Linked DNA regions of Arabidopsis thaliana. The protein of the gene in region 3 purifies or fractionates together with the protein of the main gene of each other region. This does not show direct contact. Each region holds a gene or a part of one and is shown on either strand. Other genes may lie near its edges.

The links.
Region 1: the proteins of UVH6 (region 3) and AT2G39130 purify together in Arabidopsis thaliana (affinity purification with mass spectrometry, with the first as the bait; one large-scale study listed by BioGRID). This does not show direct contact.
Region 2: the proteins of UVH6 (region 3) and AT4G24820 purify together in Arabidopsis thaliana (affinity purification with mass spectrometry, with the first as the bait; one large-scale study listed by BioGRID). This does not show direct contact.

The regions. Positions count from the first base shown.
Region 1 is NC_003071.7:16,321,965-16,329,806, reverse strand, and holds AT2G39130 (Transmembrane amino acid transporter family protein), read left to right. Parts: upstream 1-2,500; 5' UTR 2,501-2,651; exon of another isoform or gene 2,652-2,886; 5' UTR 2,887-2,956; intron 2,957-3,044; 5' UTR 3,045-3,062; coding exon 3,063-3,241; intron 3,242-3,380; coding exon 3,381-3,706; intron 3,707-4,173; coding exon 4,174-4,388; intron 4,389-4,787; coding exon 4,788-4,811; intron 4,812-5,260; coding exon 5,261-5,661; intron 5,662-5,781; coding exon 5,782-5,917; intron 5,918-6,008; coding exon 6,009-6,174; coding exon of another isoform or gene 6,175-6,218; intron 6,219-6,263; coding exon 6,264-6,307; intron 6,308-6,398; coding exon 6,399-6,461; intron 6,462-6,537; coding exon 6,538-6,636; 3' UTR 6,637-6,849; downstream 6,850-7,842. Other genes in the region: WTF9 (Ubiquitin carboxyl-terminal hydrolase family protein), read right to left, coding at 6,850-7,842.
Region 2 is NC_003075.7:12,787,945-12,795,080, reverse strand, and holds AT4G24820 (26S proteasome regulatory subunit Rpn7), read left to right. Parts: upstream 1-2,358; 5' UTR 2,359-2,481; coding exon 2,482-2,620; intron 2,621-2,718; coding exon 2,719-2,833; intron 2,834-3,176; coding exon 3,177-3,267; intron 3,268-3,345; coding exon 3,346-3,491; intron 3,492-3,581; coding exon 3,582-3,801; intron 3,802-3,937; coding exon 3,938-4,046; intron 4,047-4,145; coding exon 4,146-4,314; intron 4,315-4,435; coding exon 4,436-4,610; 3' UTR 4,611-4,764; exon of another isoform or gene 4,765-5,012; intron 5,013-5,289; exon of another isoform or gene 5,290-5,482; coding exon of another isoform or gene 5,483-5,596; exon of another isoform or gene 5,597-5,713; coding exon of another isoform or gene 5,714-5,842; exon of another isoform or gene 5,843-6,030; 3' UTR 6,031-6,051; downstream 6,052-7,136. Other genes in the region: AT4G24830 (arginosuccinate synthase family), read left to right, coding at 93-141, 249-431, 549-623, 713-898, 1,027-1,115, 1,444-1,996; AT4G24810 (Protein kinase superfamily protein), read left to right, coding at 5,483-5,596, 5,714-5,842, 6,073-6,267, 6,409-6,456, 6,536-6,664, 6,754-6,878, 7,070-7,136. UniProt on the Arabidopsis thaliana protein: Acts as a regulatory subunit of the 26S proteasome which is involved in the ATP-dependent degradation of ubiquitinated proteins.
Region 3 is NC_003070.9:773,516-781,313, forward strand, and holds UVH6 (RAD3-like DNA-binding helicase protein), read left to right. Parts: upstream 1-2,011; 5' UTR 2,012-2,134; exon of another isoform or gene 2,135-2,292; 5' UTR 2,293-2,306; coding exon 2,307-2,840; intron 2,841-2,966; coding exon 2,967-3,247; intron 3,248-3,639; coding exon 3,640-3,722; intron 3,723-3,820; coding exon 3,821-4,224; intron 4,225-4,356; coding exon 4,357-4,550; intron 4,551-4,637; coding exon 4,638-4,818; intron 4,819-4,970; coding exon 4,971-5,095; intron 5,096-5,291; coding exon 5,292-5,381; intron 5,382-5,486; coding exon 5,487-5,565; intron 5,566-5,658; coding exon 5,659-5,735; intron 5,736-6,022; coding exon 6,023-6,131; intron 6,132-6,228; coding exon 6,229-6,348; 3' UTR 6,349-6,529; downstream 6,530-7,798. Other genes in the region: AT1G03180 (non-structural protein), read left to right, coding at 28-176, 581-638, 716-1,024, 1,137-1,185, 1,270-1,364, 1,453-1,532, 1,607-1,664; AT1G03200 (uncharacterized protein), read left to right, coding at 7,240-7,321, 7,566-7,609. UniProt on the Arabidopsis thaliana protein: ATP-dependent 5'-3' DNA helicase, component of the general transcription and DNA repair factor IIH (TFIIH) core complex, which is involved in general and transcription-coupled nucleotide excision repair (NER) of damaged DNA and, when complexed to CDK-activating kinase (CAK), involved in transcription by RNA polymerase II.

The DNA.
Region 1 (7,842 bases), on a different chromosome or scaffold from region 3:
TCTTTGGCTTAATACGTATTTATGTGAGTTTAGTAACATGATTTAAGGAATATGAGTAATCCTTTCAAAATTGACAAAAAAAAAAAAAAAAAAGAGTAATGCTTTCAAAAGGATCAAATTTTGTTGGAAAACATATACTGTTAGACAAATTAGAACCTAACCACCAAAAGACGTATTCAAAAGATGATAAGTAGCAGATTTGTAAGTTCTTAATTAGAAATCTTGTAACAGATTTGTGTAACTCGTTGCATTCCATATCTTTCTCTTCAAAGTTTCTTGAAGTAGGAGAGTAAGATGTTATTTTGCAGAGTAAATATAATTTGCACAAATAAAATCAACTATAATGTGAACTCTGTAAAACTCAAAACGTAAACATATTCTTGGCTAGTTGGTTTCATTTTTTTTGTTTGGTATGAAATCCCAACATACACAGTATAAAGTCGTAGCATTATGTTATCTCCAAATCCAATACTTATTATCTCCATATGTAAAATCTAACCTTCGCACCATAGGTACATATATAATAACATAACATGGTTACTCGCAATTTATGTCACGAACAGAAAAAACCTTGCAAAACATAGTTACTTGCAATTTATATAATGAGCAAAAATCATCACAAAAAGACAAAATGCAGGACATTATGTATTATTATTATTTTGATAAAAGGCTTATGATATTATGTTGACAATGAGTATCATTCAACAAAAAAAAAAAAGAAGAAGACAAAAATAAAACATTGAATCAGTGATTGATGTGCAATATCATTCTTGAGCTGTCTAAACCTTCACTGCGTCATCATTTTGGCATTGATTTGTGTATCATTTTTGCAAATACTTGTGAGGACGATCTTCCTCTCCTCTGTATTAATATAGTTTCGAAAATAAAAATAAAATACAACAATGAAGCATGTGGGGATATGTTGAAGGAAGCGGAGAATCAACAAAGAGAGATCAAATGAGCACATGCTCTTGAGTTATCGTTTCAGAAGAAAAGTCCAAATGAACGACCAACAGATCTACACATCATGTGATTCTGTTCTTACGATTGTGATTTTTTTGCCGGTTCACCTCAATTAACTAGTCATTTTTGCAGATTTCGAAAGTGAGATAGATATATACTTTGATTTGACATACTTACAATCTGATACATACATGTTCAATGAACCATTTTGTTTTTATTAATCTGACCTTTTTATCGTATATCAACTTTCATTTTGAAAAATTAGCTATTTGATATTGACCTAATCTTTTGATTGATTACTGTGGCTTTTTCCCTCTTGTTTTATGACGATGCAATTTAAATTCACCAATCTAGATACTCCATAGCATATGTGATATATACTCTGAAAAGGTGTTGCTAGCTAAATGAGATGAATCGCTCATTCATATGTGGTTTTGATTTTTGTGTTTCTCATGACACTTCTTGTTTTCGTTAGCCTCGCTAAGGCGTCACATTTCATGAAACCTTAATAAAAAAGCACTATTTGGTTAGTTTGTTTTAATACATGATCAGATTCTCAGTTTGTATTTCTGACCAACAACAAAAAGAAAGAAAGATTCTCAGTTTGCTGTTAAACTATTTTTAAAAAAGTGGGATTTGAGACAATCCCACAATCCTAAAGCTGATGTATTGCAATAATAAATTTAAATTATCTCCGTCAGCAAGATATGGTTTGCCTACCCAACAATGAAGAATAGTATAATCATATTCTATAATAAGAAATTGACATAAACAGCCCCCTCGGATTATGCTAATTAGTCCACTTAATTACTTTTATTTAGGTGTATCTTAAGGACATTTTCTTGTCTATAGTAAGTAAGATAAAGAAGCAAACAATATGATTAAAAATTATGACGTCGTCGAGCCATAAATAAAACAAAATATGTACTATTAAATAAGCACTGCTTAATCTGGCACCAATCACATATTCACGGCGTACCACCACTTGAGTTTGCAACTCGTCGTCATCCAGTCATCTCCTTGTTGTCCTAAACTTGTGTGTTCTTGTCTTTTTATTCCACTCGACCAAAAGGGCGTGGACACACTCGCCTGATACTTGTCACACGTCCTTCATACGGGCTCTCTGCTAATAAAACAAGATGGTTTTTTTTGTTGTTGATATTTTGTTGTTTCCGTTTTAAACCAAATCTTACTTTCACATTGTTTTCACTTTTGTCTTACGATCTCATTCCAATTTCTTACCAAACATGGTTTAAAAATTTAATTAAATATCAAAACATCTTTGTTAAAAAAAAAACCCCCAAATTGGTACTCTTTTCCAAACTATTACATGTATAAGCGTTGGGTTTAGAAAACAGTACCAATCAAACTTAAACTGGGAATCTATAACTGGAAACCTATCACATATTCAAACTAAAAATGGGAATCTATAACCACAACAATTAATACTCAATGATTAATTATTAAATAAGTTTAGAGGAAAATGATTAATATAAATAAAATAAGTTACCCTAAAAAGTATTTAATTTGAAAAAAACTTTTGTAAAGAGTTTTATTATTTGTAGAACAGAGAAAAAGCCGCTCTCTCTCCCTCTCCTTTCCACTCTCATCTCCCTCTCTCTATATCCTCCTCCTATCAGAAGAGCTCTCTCTTCTCTCCGCACCGATTCTGATCCGAAGATTTTCAGGTAACAATATCAATGTCTACAACACCAACGATTCTCACTTTCTTCTTTCTTCAATCCTTTTTCATTTGTTTTCTCTTTTGCCAATCAATGATTTAAGATTGAATGAAATTCTCACGCAGCGATGCAATCTTATTTCTCTCAAAATTCTGTTTCTGTTTCGAAATTCCGACAATCTTACCAATGTTCTTTTGTTTGTCTGTTTTCTTGATGTGATCTGGGGACTCAATCATTGAAGCTTAGAATTTTTTTACATTTCTCCATAATCCTGTTCTTGAGACAGAACAAGAGACTGTTTGACTTTACAGGTTAGATCTCGTCACCAGTTATCTTTATTCGGATTTGATTGTTCCGACAATCTTACCATTTATTTTCTTTTACACGAATTCAAATCAGATTTCATAAAGTGAAAAAATGAATCACGTACCGTCTGATCAAAGCTTTTACATTGAGAGCGAGGACGAAGACGATAGGAAAGATTACGTAGAAGAAGATGGTGGAAGCCATTCTGATTCCTCTGATGATGTTTATGATGAAAACCAAGCTCACATTAAGCCTAGCTCATACACCACTGCTTGGCCTCAGAGTTACAGGTTTGGCTTCTCTCCGTTTCCACTCTTTATTGTGGTAGTTAAGTGAATATGTTTCATTTCCGCTAATATTACTCCATTTCTTGATTTGATTTGCTACGTTTTAAGAGTTGGTTTTGTGTGTTCTTGATAATGTTTGTAGGCAGTCGATTGATCTTTATAGTAGTGTACCGTCTCCCGGTATCGGTTTTCTTGGGAATAATTCGATGACGAGATTCGGAAGCTCTTTCTTGTCTTCTGGTTTGATAAGAAGACATACTCCGGAATCATTACCTACTGTTACAAAACCTTTGTTAGAAGAACAAGCAGATGAACAAGCACTACCAAAACATAGACTTAGCTCTCAGGGCTTACTCTCTCCTATTCCTTCGAGGAGGGGTTCGATGCGAAAGGATGAGAAATCATCCATGGTGTCTCATGAGATTCCAATGTCTCGTAATAGCTCATACGGACAAGCTGTACTAAATGGTCAGTTCATCTTAATGCTTGAGTTAAAATATCGTGTCTTCTCTTCGTTAAAAGTGGTTAAATAGTTTTAAGAGATTCTCTGATGCTTGGCTTGATGAGAGTAGTAACGATGGTAGAGCTAATTGCTGCTTTCCTAGAACTATAGAGCTGCAATATTGATTGCAATTGTGTTCATTCACCGTTAAATACTAATGAAAATATGTCAACATTTTCTCTGTTGTTTGATTTTCATTATAGGAATCTAGATTGTGTGTGTAAGAGGGTCTAAGACCGTCTTCTTCGGGGTTTAAAGATGTATGTCTCTTTATAAATTAAGTGAATCGTACAAAACAACAATCAACTCTATTGTCCTATAGCACATGGAGCACATGTTGGACCAAACACGTCTAGGTTCAAAGAACATGATTGAGATCTTTTGCTCTTAGTAAATTTATGATCATCTTGTATAACATGTGGGTCATGTGCAGGATTGAACGTTCTTTGTGGGGTTGGAATACTTTCAACGCCTTATGCTGCCAAAGAAGGAGGATGGTTAGGACTTATGATACTATTTGTATATGGTCTTCTTTCTTTCTACACCGGAATCCTCCTTCGTTATTGCCTCGACAGTGAGTCTGACCTCGAAACCTATCCCGACATTGGCCAAGCTGCGTTTGGTACTACTGGACGTATCTTTGTCTCGGTAAGATGATAAATTTCCTTAAAATCTTCCTCTATAGTGAAGGTGATATAAAGTTAAGGACCAAATAGAGAAAAAGAAAACTGAATGAACTATATACAAGATCCCACACAAAAAGAGAATTGCCTTTTGGCCTAGGATCAAATAGAACAACTCAAAAGCAAAGGGCAAAAAGCTACCACTTTTGTTTCAAGTATGAAGCTTTATTCTTATGAAAAATTACTATCACGCATGTGTTGGTGCAATTAGATTGCTATAAGAAGTCAAATGAGTAGAAGAAACCTATTGAATTAATAATACATCTCATCAAATAGAGCAAGAAACTACGAATATTAGCTTCTTTAATAGTGGAATTTGATATCAATTTTTATTAATTTATTCCTTTTATTGTTTGTATTGCAGATTGTACTCTACTTGGAGCTATACGTAAGTACTTCTTGGATTCGTCCATCACTTGACTTTAATTCATATTTTATAAAAATTGGAATCCCATGACTCTTTTTGTCAAGAAAAGTACATAACTACAGAGATTCCAAGTTGTGTTTTAAAAAAAACAAACAAGAAAAGAGATCTCAAGTATGTGACCCCATGTTGTGAAACACGTTAGCAAAGGGTCCCATAGATTCTGCCACTAGTTCTAGATTTGGCACTACCTGAAGCTGCTTTAAACTTTTCTCTTTGTTTCATTTTGTTCCTTCATAAAGCTTATATACTTTTGACGTCACTAAAGTAGCAAAGATATATTTTAGATGGAAATGATCCCTAAAAAGCTTCTTAAAAGCTACTAGTGTGAAATGATTAGTTGAATAGTGACTATATAGTAGATACTAGATGATACATCTGCAGACTTGACATGAGTCTATTCATATTTTCAGGCATGCTGTGTGGAATATATAATATTGGAGAGTGATAATTTGTCTTCATTATATCCAAATGCTGCCTTAAGTATTGGAGGATTTCAGTTAGATGCACGCCATCTATTTGCATTGCTAACCACTCTCGCCGTTCTCCCCACCGTTTGGCTCAGAGATCTCAGCGTACTTAGTTATATCTCTGCTGGAGGGGTGATTGCATCAGTGCTAGTGGTTTTATGTTTGTTTTGGATTGGTTTGGTAGATGAAGTTGGAATTCACAGCAAAGGAACTACACTAAACTTGTCAACATTACCTGTGGCTATAGGACTCTATGGTTACTGCTACTCAGGACATGCTGTTTTCCCCAATATTTATACTTCTATGGCCAAACCATCTCAATACCCTGCTGTTCTCTTGACATGGTAAGCTTATGTCGCTTTAAACAAGTTCTTATCTTCTACAACGCTTCGACTTTCGCTTATGCAAACTTCAAGAAAATATTCAACCATTTTGATAGCAGAAAGATTGATAATTTTGTGCAGTTTTGGTATTTGTACTCTGATGTATGCCGGCGTCGCTGTTATGGGTTATACGATGTTTGGAGAATCAACACAGTCACAGTTTACTCTCAACTTGCCTCAAGATTTAATTGCAACTAAGATTGCTGTGTGGACTACGGTAAGTGGACCAAATATGTTTTCTTTCCACTACGTATTGGTTCTTGCATGTTGGTTGGAAGTAAAACCGTTTTGTTTTAACCGTTTCACAGGTGGTCAATCCATTTACCAAATATGCTTTGACCATATCTCCAGTAGCAATGAGTCTTGAGGAGTTGATACCATCAAGGCATATCAGGTCACATTGGTACGCCATCGGCATTAGAACCCTATTGGTCTTCTCTACTCTGCTTGTTGGTCTCGCTATTCCCTTCTTTGGTAAGTTCCTCTTTACTATTTTGATGCAAAGCTCCTTTTCTTGAAAATCATACTTTTGCTAGTTGTGAGAACACTCAAAAATCTTGCAGGTCTTGTCATGTCATTGATTGGATCGTTGTTGACTATGCTCGTCGTAAGCTGTCTTTTCCTTCTATTTTTGGTATATCTACTACAAATGAGGATCTTAAGTTTGGATATATAAGTTCATCTTTTGTTTTGTGCAGACTCTAATACTTCCTCCAGCTTGTTTCTTGAGCATTGTAAGGAGAAAAGTTACCCCGACCCAGGTTAGCCTCTCACAAAAACATTGTTTCTATGTGTTATAAGACGATTCATTAACAAAGTTTTGGTTGGTTTTTGTAGATGATGTTGTGTGTCTTAATCATCATAGTAGGAGCAATATCTTCAGTCATTGGCTCATATTCAGCTCTTTCCAAGATCGTTGAGAAATTGACCAACTGAAAATATTTCTCTGTTTTTTTCTTACAAACTCTTATACCCATTTTGTCTTTCAGGGGAATACTTTTTTTCTTTTTTTCTTTTTCTGTTTTGTCTTTTGTTTTCGTATAGCAAAATTCATTCTTGCATTCAAAGCTTTTGTAATATCTGAGTGATGATCTGCATCTTAAAACTGGTTTGAAAGTTGATTAATAAAGATTGGTACAACATTTTGCCTTAGCCTTCAAAATCCAAATCCAAATCTTTATCTACAACCCCTTCGTCCCTAAACCCGAAACTATTCCTTCGACTCTTCAGAATCAACTCTGAATTCTTCATCAACTGGATGTATTTCTTCCTTACCCCCAACACAGGATGTGTTTCAACACTAGCTTTATCTCTATAAGGCTCTCTAAGAATAGCTGTACAAGTTTTATTCTTCATAGACAAGTAGAAAATCTGCGGATGTCTCTCAAACGCCTTATGAACCTTTTGCGGCAATCCAAAATGCTTCTTGAGACATAACAACTTCTTCCTCTCAGCAGAATGCTCAACGAAAAGACAAAGCAATTCATGAAGAAAACCAACAACTCTCTTCTCTGCTATATCACTACTTGGATCCAAACATGAATAATCATCATATGGTGATACATAAGGAAGCTTTTGAAACTCCATTAACCAATCTTCAATCTTGACTCTCAATCTACAACCTTTTGATGGAAACAGAGGAAACTCAATCTCTTCTAAACTCACTTCTCCTCTTCTCTTCTTCATTGCATTCTTCTGCAACACAGACAAAACCTTATCTCCTCCATTATAATCTACTGCTAAACCTTTAACTCCATCTTCCATATCCACAAACCTAAACGAAGAATCTAAATTCATATCTGGAAACTGCAAGTAATCATCAGGTAAACCTAAATACCATTTCATTCCTTGAACTATACTTAGTGGCAAAACATTATCTTTACTCATCAGAATCAATTTCTTCAACCTATCACGCAAATCATCTGCAGAAGTTTGGTATACGACTCTCTCTTGCCTATCTAGTTCTGTTGCTTCTGGTGTCAATCTAAACCATGGGAGATTATACTCTGGACCAACGAACTCTTCAAAGATTGAAGGAAACTTCCTTAAGAAGTGAGCGATTTTGGTTGATACATCGAATTGACGAGTCTTCTTGGAGATGGCAGAGATCGGAATGCAGCGATTAGGTTCCTGGACGATACA
Region 2 (7,136 bases), on a different chromosome or scaffold from region 3:
TTCTGACCTCTAACAAGAATACGTTTTGAATCTTCCTCTGGTTATGAAACAACTAGTCTGACCTTCCTTATATGTAACTATTTGTTTTCTAGGGAGAACTATGGTTGTGAAGTTGTGTGCTTCACTGCTGATGTTGGTCAGGTACATCACAAAAATGCCACATGTCAACTGTTTTAGTTAAGAAATGAAGTTTTATGTTGTTGCAATCTGCTTATGTCTTCTCAACCTCTAAATACTTTGATGTGAAGGGCATAAAAGAGTTAGAGGGTTTAGAACAAAAGGCTAAGGCTAGTGGTGCTTCTCAGTTGGTCGTTAAGGATCTCACAGAGGAGTTTGTGAAAGATTTCATCTTCCCTTGTCTTAGAGCTGGTGCCATCTATGAACGAAAATACTTGCTTGGTACCTCCATGGCTCGACCTGTCATTGCTAAGGTAACATTTCGAATGGTTTTATATGATTGACTTGTGAGGACTACCCCCACTATTTCTAATATCTGGATATATCTTTTGGATTACATATTGTCACTAATACATTTTCTAAATGATTAGGCCATGGTTGATGTAGCAGCAGAGGTTGGAGCTGATGCCGTTGCACATGGGTGTACTGGAAAAGGAAATGACCAGGCAAGTACTTGGAATGTCTTGCTAATGCGTCACATTGGAAAACACGCATTGATTCTTACATTACTTTTTTGTACTGATTGATTGACCAGGTTCGGTTTGAGCTCACCTTCTTTTCATTAAACCCTGAACTTAAAGTTGTGGCACCATGGAGAGAATGGGAAATCCAAGGCCGAGAAGATGCTATTGAGTATGCAAAGAAGCATAATGTTCCCGTCCCAGTGACAAAGAAGTCCATTTACAGCCGGGACAGAAACCTGTGGCACCTTAGTCATGAGGTAAAGTAAAAGACAAGTGTTGGTTCGCATTTTTCTTTTGGATACAAATTGATCCAGTTTGTCACATTGCTCAGTTCCTAATAATGTGTCTCATGCTCTGATATCAAACTTATGTGTTTTGTTGAAAGGGTGATCTATTGGAAGATCCAGCAAACGAGCCAAAGAAAGATATGTACATGATGAGTGTGGATCCTGAAGATGCTCCTGATCAGCCTGAGTAAGTTGGAATTTCTTTGAGCCCTTGTGTTTAACTATGCACTGTAATTACCCCAAGGTGGTTTGTAGTGGATTATAGCTGTGTTGATAGTTTGAAAACTAAAGTTGAGTCAGTTAGCTACAGAGCTGAGGTTTAGGCAGAATGAGTTGGTGTGTTCAGGATTTGTTTATGGTTTGGGATTGGGAATCAGATCTAGAATAGAGAGTTCTCGTTATTAAAGTCTCTCAAAGGAGTTAACTGGTTTAGCTGCTATGCTATCAAATTTAGATACCAAGAGTAGGATTTTGCAATTTGCATCCTAACTTTTGATACTTACACACTTATACAGATACATCGAGATCGGGATAGAATCTGGACTTCCAGTGGCGCTGAACGGGAAGGCTCTGAGTCCAGCCACACTTCTGGCCGAGCTAAACACAATAGGAGGAAAGCACGGGATTGGGCGGATTGACATGGTTGAGAACCGTCTGGTTGGGATGAAATCACGAGGTGTGTATGAAACTCCTGGAGGCACTATCCTCTTTGCAGCTGTACAGGAACTAGAATCCCTCACTCTAGACAGAGAGAGTATTCAGGTAAAAGACACATTAGCACTGAAATATGCAGAGATGGTCTACGCAGGAAGATGGTTTGATCCGCTTAGGGAGTCCATGGACGCTTTCATGGAGAAGATAACCGAGACAACCACGGGATCTGTGACACTGAAGCTGTACAAAGGATCTGTGTCGGTTACAGGGCGTCAGAGTCCTAACAGTCTGTATAGACAGGACATATCTTCGTTTGAAGGGAGTGAGATCTACAACCAAGCGGATGCAGCCGGGTTTATTCGTCTTTACGGGCTTCCAATGAAAATTAGAGCTATGCTTAAGAAAATTAGCTAGAAATGGTTTTCATTCATGTCTTACTTGGAATTGAGAGCCTGACATTAGAACACATCCCTTATTGTGATGCGTCGTCATAGCTTCAGCTTCTTTCGAAATAATTCTATCATCTTTCTTCACTTTGGAAAAACTTGAGAAATTTAATAATGAGTGCCTCTTTCTTTTATGATTTCCATTGGAAAGAGATATAAAATATAAATATCCATTACTTGAATTCAACGATCTTAAGTTTAAATTATTTATAACGAGAATTTAAATGTAAATGTTTTTTACTTTTTTTTCTTATGGTAAAAATTCCAAATTTAAATGTAAAAAAAGATAAGGGTGTTTAAGGTAATGCGAAACTTATTTTTTTTTTACATACACAAAAAAAAAAAACCATCGGACCTGAAATCTTTGTAAGCTCTTCCTCCTTGCTCAAGCAAACCTCTTTTTATATATTTGCTCTCTCTCTCTCAGATCCGATTCAAGCTTTCCGATTTGCGATGGACGGTGGAGCGGAAGGATCTCAGCAGCCTCACCTTATTCTAGCCAACAAGCTCTTCCTCCTCACTCATCCAGATGTTCCAGACATCGAGAAAGTCCAGCTCAAGTCTGAGGTTTTGGATTTCATCAGATCCCATGGTTAAGCAGCTCCTTTTCTCTAATCAGTGAGAATTAGCTTAATATTTCTTCGAGATTTTATGTTCCTGATGTTTCGTTGGTGTTTTTATTTATTTTAGGTATGGCTCCTTTGTACGAAACCCTAATTGCCTCTTCGGTGCTGGATTTGGATCAAAGCTTGTTAGAGTCTATGCGGGCCGCTAATGAAGAGGAGCTTAAGAAGCTCGACGAGAAGTAAGTTTCCTTCAGTTTCTCACTTTTATTTGGCAGTGCTTTGAAATTCGAATTCTCGTATTAGTATTTTGGGTTAGATTGATGTAGGGGGACTGTAGCATTCTGGGTCTCAAATTGGATTCAGAATTGTGTTTGCAAAAGTCCACTATGAATTTTGGGAATCTCCATGTTCCTGTGGTAGCTGATGTAGCATGATGTCTTAGTATTCTTAGGGAGATAACCATTACCTAACCATTGGTTTCTGAGTCCATCTTGGCCTCCGCTTTAACTTTGTAGAAACTTCTGAACCAGTATGTTATCAGCCAAAGTTCTCTTACATATTCTTTTCTTTCACTTTTTTCAGGATTGCAGATGCAGAAGAAAATTTGGGTGAAAGTGAAGTTCGTGAAGCTCATCTTGCTAAGGCTCTGTATTTCATCAGGATTAGTGATAAGGTATGTGGCATATCAAAGTTGATAGTTATGGTAACTTCCGTGGATCGTGGCCATTAAATTTTTGTTTTGTAATCCTAGGAGAAAGCTTTGGAGCAGCTAAAACTCACTGAAGGGAAAACTGTTGCTGTTGGACAAAAAATGGACGTGGTGTTTTATACGTTACAACTTGCTTTTTTCTATATGGACTTTGATCTGGTATCAAAGAGCATTGACAAAGCAAAAAAGTAAATGTCAATTTGGCTGTATTTTGACTACTCTTCATGGATAGTGCAACTGAAATCCTTGAATTAACACTTTCCGTTTTCCCTTGCCAGATTGTTTGAAGAGGGTGGTGACTGGGAGAGGAAGAACCGGCTAAAGGTCTATGAAGGTTTGTACTGCATGTCCACCAGAAATTTTAAGAAGGCTGCCAGCTTATTCCTGGATTCTATATCAACCTTCACAACATATGAAATTTTTCCATATGAGACCTTCATATTCTACACCGTCCTGACAAGCATCATAACTTTGGACAGAGTTTCCCTTAAGCAAAAGGTATTTCTCAATGGCTCAGTCTTCCACTTAGAGTTGTCTAAACTTAGATAAAAACTTTTTAGTATGTCGACTTATTAAAATGATGTATATCCATGTAATTTGTTGAAATTCTTATCAAGTGCTACTAATTTGACAGGTCGTTGATGCACCTGAGATCTTAACCGTGCTTGGGAAGATTCCATTCCTTTCTGAGTTTCTGAACTCCTTGTATGAGTGCCAGTACAAGGCGTTTTTCTCAGCATTTGGTAAGTTCATTACAAGGACCAGAGGTCATACATCCGAATGCATGTTGCTTGGCTTTTGTCTGTATGTTTACTAACTTCATTGTCGGCTTATGTTCTCAGCTGGAATGGCGGTGCAGATAAAGTATGACCGTTACTTGTACCCGCATTTCCGGTTCTACATGAGGGAAGTCAGAACAGTGGTGTACTCTCAGTTTTTGGAATCTTACAAAAGTGTGACAGTTGAAGCAATGGCAAAGGCCTTTGGCGTTTCTGTCGATTTCATAGACCAGTAAGCACAATAATGAACGCTCTTTTGTATATTTATGTTTGCCACCTCTCTTTAGAAGCATACAAAAAAACGATAATACAAACTTAAATCTGACTTGAAATGTATTTTTTTTTTTATCCAGGGAGTTGTCGCGCTTCATTGCTGCTGGGAAGCTTCACTGTAAGATAGACAAGGTTGCAGGTGTTTTGGAGACAAACCGTCCTGATGCAAAGAATGCACTTTACCAGGCAACAATCAAGCAAGGGGATTTCTTGCTAAACCGAATCCAGAAGCTGTCTCGTGTGATCGATCTGTGAGCATGCTACATGTTTCTGTTTCACTCTTTCGTCAAGCTTTGCAACTTGGAAACTCCGAACGGTAGAATCTTAAGGTCTGAGAAACGATATGAACTTTGGATTTTGAGATGAATGGCTGTAGTTTCTTTCATCAACTCTAGTTGGTTTGTCAGTGGTGAATTTCCCAAGAACAAAGAGCAAGTTTAATCTCCAATGTTCATTTTATTCTTCCTCGCATATGGCTTTTGAATCTGTTGTTTTCATCGCATCTATCTAGTATCTAAGAGAAAACGACCACCATACCTCTTACAAAATAAAGCTTTTGTTTCACAAGGTGTATTAGTTGACCATATAGATATACCAAGAAAAATGCATTAGTACACTTCATAATCTGAATGGTTAGAATTGAACACAAATTAGATACATCTAAAGGACAGTCCTTGGTTGAACTTGTGAGAGATACATACACAGTAGTTGGTAACTTGGTATTTTGCAGATTCTTCTTCCACGGACGTCTGTTTAGTGAATTAGGTGAGATTCTTCACCATCACACTTATAGGATTTACAATTTGTTTCTTACTGTTTAGTAAGTTCCTTTTTTCCTAAATTTTTTGATATGGTCTGGGGTTAGTAACAAGACCATCATTGTAAACTACTTTAAGATTTGAGGAGATTAGTACCTTATCTTCTATTGCCTGCCTAATTATAACCAGTGACTCACAGTGAGTGTGACATAAGACAAACGGATTTTGTTTCCTTTACAATTTAACGAAACAGTAATTAACACTCTCGAATGGATTCGTAGAGAGCAGCAAACTCCACTCTGACGCCATACATAAACAATTCTTAACTTTATCCTCTCATCCTTATCACTCTTCCTCAAAACTTCGAAAATGCATGCGATCGATTTCAAAGAGATTCAGGAGAAGCTCTCTGATGGATTCCGGCCTTGGCAACGATCGTTTCAGTTCTGGGCTCGTGCCACTGATATCTACACCGGATACAAGGTTTCTCTTTGATTGATGGGTACTCCTTTCTTCTTCTTCATGTTTCGTTTTGTAATACATTTTTCTTATGATTTTCTGCAATTTTCTTTCAATCTGTGTCTTGTTCTGGGCTTTTAGGTATTTCAACTTCGTATGAACTTCGTCAAGGATGTTAATAAGCACGAGGAGATGTGGGAGAGACAACATGAACTTGCTGCTCATAAAGTTTATTCTATGTGCTCTGACCTTGGTGGTTTCTTCCTTAAGGTAATGGTGTGTTGAGACTGTTGTTGAGGTTTGTGATTACCAGAGGGGACTTCCACGTTTGGGATTGTTATGAATTACTCATCTTAAATCTTGTTGTAACAAAAAGTATGAGTTTTTTTTTTGTTTCTTTGATGAGAATAAAGGTTGTACATTTTACTCTTTGATTGTTCACAGTTGCTTATGATGAGTTTTTTTTTTTTTTTTTTACTTTTTTTCATTTTGTTCAATAGATTGCACAAATTCTAGGGAAACCTGACTTGGCTCCAGCTGCTTGGGTGAGAAAACTCGTCACTTTGTGTGATCAAGCTCCTGCCACACCATTTGATGCCGTTCGAGTTGTCCTGGAGAAAGAGTTAGGTAAAAGCATCGAACAAGTGTTTGAAACATTTGATGAGAAGCCTCTTGGCTCTGCTTCTATTGCTCAGGTACTACATTCTTCATCACTCATAGTTTCAGAACCTTTGTACAGTATTACCGTGCATGCTTATAAAATCAGATAAGATTATAGTTTGGTTAAGAAAGTCTCAATATATACTGTATTTCACTTTCTTTTTGCTTCTATCTAGGTACACCGAGCAAGAGTAAAGGGTGACAAGAGGGATGTTGTTGTAAAGGTGAGGAATAATGAGGAGAAAACTGAAATCTTCCTAGTCTACTTTTAATTGGTTTCTGAATGTGCTACGACATGTTTAGGTCCAACATCCTGGCGTTGAGAAGTTGATGATGGTTGATATCAGAAACTTGCAAATATTTGCATTATACATGCAGAAAACTGATATCAAATTTGACTTGTTCTCCATGACAAAGGAAATAGAGAAGCAGGTATATATCATTCTTTCTATATTTTGAGGGTATCTGGTAAGAACTTTATAGCCGCCAAGTCACTATCAGTCCTTGTTTTCATTTACTAGATTGGGTATGAATTCGACTTTAAAAGGGAGGCCAATGCAATGGAGAAGATCCGACGTTTTCTATATGATAACAATAGAAAGAGTCCTGTTCTGGTTCCCAGGGTGTTTCCAAATTTGGTGACCAGGTACTTATTCTTATATTAGCATTCTGGTTATCCCAATAATGTTTTAAGGCTTTTTAGGTTGTCCTGTTTCACTGATCAAGAATTATGGTTCCTGTCTTTTCGACATAGTCTCTTTCCATTCGAAAGTTCTTTAATTTTCGGTTATATTCACTAATGAGTGCTGATCAGAGGAATAATCATAATACGCACAGGAAGGTTCTGGTTATGGAATTCATGAACGGAATCCCGATCTTGAGCCTTGGTGATGAGATGGCAAAA
Region 3 (7,798 bases):
CACAAGGTTTCCAATTTTCGATTCACGATGGAAATGGCGGAAGGGGAAGGAACTACAGAGGAGAACTACGACGTAGACATCGCGACCACCGCTTCTTCATTAGGCGGCTCCGGCGTCTTCCATATCATCAATGACATAGTCGGATTCGTCCTCTATATGCACCAGCAGATCCCTTCGTATGTTATCTCTTCCTATCTTCGTATCTCTATGCTTCGATGTATCCTTCGATCTGGTGATGATGTATCTATTTGTTTGTTCTTCAATCTCTCCGTTAATTTCTCCGATTAGTCTGTTGGTTACGAATTTATCAGAAGAAAAATAGTTTCGTGGTTATGAATTTATGGATTCTGGATGGATTAGTGATTAATTCCTGGTAGGTGAGTTATGTTCAATTCTAGGAGAAATTGAAAAGCTCTACGCAATTGTGCACACTACTTCCTTTTGGTTTTAGAATTAAGTCTGTTGTATCCACTATGAGTGTTTTACTGAAAACCAGAAACTTCAATTTGCAGCTTTGGTTTTGGCTACACAAAGCTCCTTCTACCAATATGACTGTTGTTGGTTATTTACATCTGTGCAGGGTATTACAAGACATGAGCCTTGAATTTGAAGGATTGCAAACTGAATTTATGGATTTGGTATGTTAGTCCTACAGACGCCATTTTCACTTTAAGGTCTAAGGTCTTTTTCACACTCTAAGAATCTTAGGTTGTAGGAGACGAATCTTGCAGAACCTCAAGTGAAACCACTGGTTAGAAGAAAACTGATGAGTAGAAAGAGAGAGGTGAAGAATGAGATTAAGAAACTGGAGAAACTGATGAAAACCATCTCTAGTCTCCGAAGTGCGCTGCAGTTAATGATCCGTGAAGCTCCTGGCATTCAGAAAGTTGTGTTGATTCTTGGTGGTAGTCCATTACGGCCTCAAAATGCTTATGAGTTGTTATTCACACAACGCAGAGACCATGTTCTAGGCTACGAAGGTGACTTTGCTAAATCCAAAGCTGCAGAAGCACTTTCAAAAAAGGTTTATTCTTTTTCTTACCTCTGTTTTCATGTTGCTTGTGATTTGTCTCTTTTCAATTTTATCTGCTGTGATAAGTCAAAAATGGTTGAGCCCTTCACTCTTGGCTTTACAGACTATCCGAGCACTGATCTCGACGGGTGCTGGATCAACTTCCTACCCAGGTAACTTTTGCATAAATTGCAAACTTCTTTAGCATTGTTGTGAATTATGGTGTAATGATTTTTTTCCCTTCTTCTGAGTTGCAGGTCCAATGAGGCTCTTCATATTGGTTCATGCTCCACCTACTTTGAATCTTCCACAACATTTCCTTCCTAAACGTGACTTCAGATACAACAGAAAGGTATACACTTCTCTGCTAATTCTATTTCACACATCCATGTACAACATTCCGATTTTCCGTCACCTGCAAACATCTTTTATTATTGCAGTTTGTGCCTTCAAAGTTGAGATTCAAGTGCAGAACGCAAGACAATGCAACAAATTCTCCTCCCACAAATGATCTAATATGGTACTTCTCTTATTCACAATTCTCCAGTTACACACTAAACAAGTTCTTGACCATGCCTTACTGTGTCATTGCAGGTATCAATGTCGACATGTGATAAAGGGATTAGCTTTCCATCAACCAGTTGAAGAATAAGACTTTAGAGTTTGTTTGTATCTCTCTATTGTTGTAACTAAACCCTGTTGCAAATTTTAGAAAAAAACCAGCATTGTTGAAACAATTCCAAATCTTGAGATGACATTGTACTACTACTACTGCATACTCTAATACTCTGTTGTTTTAACAAAATCAGGATTGTTCAACTATTTTATATTTTTGGACGAATTGTTAACATTTAAAAACCTAATTTTGTCGAGAAGTTTAATATACATAAAGTTAGGGGGTCAAACGCATTAAAATAAATAAATAGGGGGTCAGAATGAAAAAGAAACAAAGCTTTAAGTTTTTCTAATAAGAGTCCTCCTCTTCTGTTTGCTCTGGTTACTTCGGCAAACACAGACGCAAAATTTTCTTCTTCTTCTTCTTCTTCTTCTTCTTCTACCTTGAAGCTGCTACCGGTTCCTCTCTCAGTCGTTGATAACACATCGAAGCTTCCATTATCACCTGTAAGTTTTCTCCTGTTATCTTCTCTTCGCTTGATCTCAATTGTTCCTTCTTTCTCGTTGTTCGGGTTTATCTACTCCAACTTGAATCGCTTGTTTTGCTAAAGTGAATTCGAGTTTTTTAGGGTTTTGTTAGTTCTAATGCCAATTTCGATTTCTAGGTAGGAGGAAGAAGATGATCTTTAAAATCGAAGACGTAACTGTCTACTTCCCTTATGACAACATATATCCAGAACAATATGAATACATGGTTGAATTGAAGCGAGCCCTAGACGCTAAGGGACATTGTCTTCTCGAGATGCCTACCGGAACTGGTAAAACCATTGCTCTTCTCTCTCTAATCACCAGCTATCGACTCTCTCGTCCTGATTCTCCGATCAAGCTTGTTTACTGTACTCGTACTGTCCACGAGATGGAGAAAACGTTAGGTGAGCTTAAGCTACTACATGACTACCAAGTACGCCATCTCGGCACCCAGGCTAAGATCCTCGCCCTTGGTCTTTCCTCTCGGAAGAATCTTTGCGTTAATACTAAGGTTTTAGCAGCCGAGAATCGTGATTCTGTTGATGCGGCCTGTAGGAAACGAACTGCTAGCTGGGTTAGGGCTTTGTCCACGGAGAATCCAAATGTAGAACTCTGTGACTTCTTTGAGAACTATGAAAAGGCTGCTGAGAATGCGTTGTTGCCTCCTGGTGTTTATACTTTAGAGGTAAGATTAAAAAAGTTAAGGTTTTTCACATTTGTTGTTTGATCAAGTTTATGTTTTAGTTGGAATGCTTATTTCGAGGTTACTTGCACATTTTGCCTGATGGTATATGTGTGTTTCGATTTTTAGGATCTAAGGGCGTTTGGTAAGAATCGTGGATGGTGCCCTTACTTTCTCGCGAGGCATATGATTCAGTTCGCCAACGTTATTGTTTACAGCTACCAATACCTACTGGATCCTAAGGTTGCTGGGTTCATATCAAAGGAGTTACAAAAAGAGTCAGTTGTAGTGTTTGACGAGGCCCATAATATCGATAACGTGTGTATTGAAGCACTCAGCGTCAGTGTGAGGAGGGTTACACTTGAAGGAGCTAATCGAAATCTTAATAAGATAAGGCAAGAAATTGATAGGTACGCTAATTTTTTCCTATATAGCTGATACTCCTTAAGTTCTCTTGAACGTGCCACTCTTAATACAACAATAAACACAGTGATAGGGTCTTTTCTTTTTCAATTGAATTTCCTGATTGTTCTTGAATGCCATCTGGGTGTCTGCTCACTCCAGTTGCTAATTGTTGGTTTTCTTAAGGAAGTTTAAGTTAGTAAGAAAATAATCTGGTTTTATGAGACTGCTTTTTGTCAAAGAACTGTAAGGGGAACAAAAATTTACAAACGCTTTTGTCATCATCTTAAACACATGAAGCATAATTTTCTTGGTTCAATACAGGAAGTGACCTGGTTATTTGCTGATGCTTATTTTTAAGTTCTTATTACATTATTGAAATTGTCCAACTGGTAGGAAGGTTCAAGGCTACTGATGCAGGAAGATTGCGAGCTGAATACAACCGGCTGGTTGAGGGTTTAGCACTGAGAGGGGACTTATCTGGTAAGTATGTGTTCAGGAAGGTGATCTGTGATTTGATTGAAAGCACACAGTAAATTTTCTAATTCTATGAACTTGACGCAACAATTTTTTTTTTGCAGGAGGTGATCAATGGCTTGCAAACCCTGCACTGCCTCATGATATTCTAAAGGAGGCTGTCCCGGGGAATATTAGACGGGCTGAGCATTTTGTGCATGTTTTACGCCGATTACTTCAGTACTTGGGGGTACGGCTGGACACTGAGAATGTAGAGAAAGAAAGCCCTGTTAGCTTTGTATCGTCACTGAATTCTCAGGCTGGAATTGAGCAGAAAACACTGAAGTTCTGTTATGACCGGCTCCAGTCTCTCATGCTAACCCTTGAAATTACAGATACAGATGAGTTTTTGCCTATCCAGACAGTGTGCGACTTTGCAACTCTTGTTGGGACATATGCCCGGGGATTTTCCATCATCATCGAGCCTTATGACGAGAGAATGCCCCATATTCCAGATCCTATATTGCAGGTAAATATGGTGTTGACCTACTTTCTTTTGAGTATTGTCACTGGGATTTTAAGGGATTATGACTCACACGTAAATGCTACCGTTTGAATAATTGAGAATTGTATCTGAAACATATATCCTTTTGTATCTTAGTTGAGCTGTCATGATGCGTCTCTGGCGATCAAACCGGTGTTTGATCGTTTCCAGTCAGTCGTGATTACATCAGGCACATTGAGCCCAATTGATCTTTACCCCCGTCTTCTTAATTTCACTCCTGTTGTTAGTCGAAGCTTTAAGATGTCAATGACACGAGACTGCATCTGCCCTATGGTTCTAACTCGGGGAAGGTATGTGGTATATAAAAAGAATCCTGAACACTTAACTTATTTTTTAATTTTATATGTCTTGACATTATTGGTTGTTTTCTTTTTCAGTGATCAGCTTCCTGTTAGCACCAAATTTGACATGAGAAGTGATCCTGGTGTTGTGAGGAATTACGGAAAGCTTTTGGTAGAGATGGTATCTATTGTTCCTGATGGAGTTGTCTGCTTCTTTGTTAGTTACTCATATATGGATGGCATTATTGCTACATGGAATGAAACTGGAATTCTGAAGGTAAGGTCTTCTTCATCGCTTTACCATGCCAGTAATTTTTTCAGAGTTTTGCATGAATTGGAATTTTTATGATACCTCAAAATATTTTTAGTTGCTTCAGGCATTAATGTATATTTGTTTACTGATATTACCAATTCTCTTAATGTTTGTAGGAAATAATGCAACAGAAGCTTGTTTTCATTGAAACACAAGATGTTGTAGAAACAACATTGGCACTGGATAATTATCGCAGGGCTTGCGATTGCGGAAGAGGTGCAGTTTTCTTCTCTGTGGCCAGGTAAAATTTTTATTTTTGAATGGTAGATGGTTTGGGAATTCATTGCAATGCGTCTTTGGTTCTGCTTCTTTGTTTCTGTATTATAATACTGGAATTGTCTCTTCTCTCCTATTCTTGGTTGGTTAACAAATATTAAAGAGGTTTCACTTTTGAGAAATTTCAAAGAAAGTGATCAAATTTTGTATTTGAACTGCAGGGGGAAAGTTGCTGAAGGTATCGATTTTGATCGTCATTATGGAAGACTGGTTGTAATGTACGGAGTACCATTCCAGTATACATTAAGCAAGTAAGTTGTACTCAAATGAATGTTTATCATTTCAATTTCCGGTTTTCTGCTTTTATATTTCATCGTACTTGGGAGATGATAAGATGGAAACGGGAAAAATTTCAGGATATTACGAGCAAGATTGGAGTATTTGCACGATACATTTCAAATAAAAGAAGGCGATTTCCTAACTTTTGATGCCTTGGTATGATTCTTATTTTATGATCTTATTAGATTTTGGTGTGCAACTCTTTTACCTGTTTGTGACTGTTGTTAACTCTTTTTGGCTTTAACACAGAGGCAAGCAGCTCAATGTGTAGGGCGAGTAATCCGGTCAAAGGCTGATTATGGGATGATGATATTTGCAGACAAAAGGTACATGCCCGCCTTAAGTTTTCTCTCTCTGAGTCTGGTCATTTAGATTCTTGCTATTTTACTAAATGGGATTCTCTCTATAATCTATCTAGTATGATAATAAGTATATGCGCAAGTATCTGAGATCACCTCGAGAATAGAAGATTGTAACAGAGTTCACACTGTTCCTTAGGAATGGGAAAATATTCGTAGGACAGAAGAGAGACACAGATATATGCTTATGTTGGTTTATAATGTCACATTTCTATGGTCTAACAATACACTGCAATTGATGGTAAAACTTGCAGATACAGCCGTCATGATAAGCGGTCCAAACTACCTGGTTGGATACTTTCGCATCTGCGTGATGCACACTTGAATCTAAGCACTGATATGGCTATTCACATTGCTCGAGAGGTAAACCTATAACTCGCTGCTTTTTTATAACTCACAGTGAAACAAACAACAAGGCATAAAGAATCAACAATTTTCCTGGTTTTTGTTTTTTTTGCAGTTTCTTCGGAAAATGGCTCAACCGTATGATAAGGCGGGTACAATGGGAAGGAAAACTCTGTTGACACAAGAAGATTTGGAGAAGATGGCTGAGACTGGTGTGCAAGACATGGCTTATTAGTAAATCAGTTTGTTTGTTATTTTTTGGTTTAGGTCAATCAAAAATTGTTGTAGCAAAAATTTTCACTGTAGGTATTTTGTTCTTTTTCTTGATGATTTTCAAGAATCGAATTGAAATTTAAGGCTCGTAAAAGTTTCGTTTTGGTTTTAAATCTATTGAAATTAGCAAAATTTATGCTTAATGTTAAGATAACTAGATTATCATATTCACTCATTACATCATTTTAGATCAAGAAATACTTCGTCGGCTCCTTGTTAAATCTATCAAACATACCACTAAAAAAAAAAAATCTTAAAGAATGATTAAATAAATTTAACCAAGCAGTAGAAGTGGAATTGAAATTGGCAGAGTTAGTGCGACGACCCAATCACCTGTCTCCAATAACCGCCTCAAAAACTGTCGAAGCCCATTGGGCACTTGCAAAGCCCAACAGTTGGAGTTCCAGCTCACCCACTAGCCGTTATTACGCAGGCTAATTTTTCAACGTGCGAGAAACCAGATTTCCTTTTTCCCGAAGACTATTTAGGGAATTTCCTCTCTTGAGCCAAATTTTCCTTTTTCCCAAGGGGGGTATTTAGGTATTTTCGTCTCTCTCGGCCAAGTTTCCTTTTTCCGTTCCTCCGTAATAAAGCTTTCATTCTTTTTGTAGGTTTCCATTAGAAGTTCAGAAATACTGTTTATAAATACAAATCCAGAGTCAGAGATCCATTCGATAGCACTTTCCTCTCTTTCTCTCATCGTAAAACCGTTCTTCGTTTTTTCTATTTCTCTCGTCTCTTTCTTCTACCCAGATCACTGATCAACCGTGAATTTTACTCTACTCTTTCATCAATTTTACTGTGTTTAATTCATAAAACAAAACAAACGATCGATTTTTGTTTTTTTTTGGGGATGAAGATCAGAAGCAAAAGCAAAGGCTATCGTCAAGAGATCAAATCAACTTGCACCGACTCCAACACTCTGTTCTCAAAAGGTACTTTTCGTCTTGTTGGAATTTTTGGCCAAATAACGTCTTTTTTTTATATGGTATCTAATTACTGTATTCTGGTTGATCGCAAAACAAAGAATTCTCATGTTTAAAGTGGGTTTCGTCTAATCCAATTTGAATTTTAGGTCTTATATTATTTCCCTAGCTCTAACCCTAATCATATATTTCTCAAAGTTTTTGATTTTTATTCAAGATTCCTTCTAATCAATTATTTCTTCTTTGTATGTAGATGTGGTTGCAACTTCGGAGCTTTTTTCATCTGTGATATCGTAGCGTGTGAAAGACGGATAATTCTACAGAGACAATGCATCATCCCATTCGGTCAGGTCAATTTTCATCCCTATTTTGTTTATAATCTATAATCTTATAGATAGTTTAATTACAAAAAAGGTTTTTATACTTTTGATTTTTCAAAACAAAATATATTTCTCAAAGTTTTGATTTTTAAAAGTTTTCAACTCT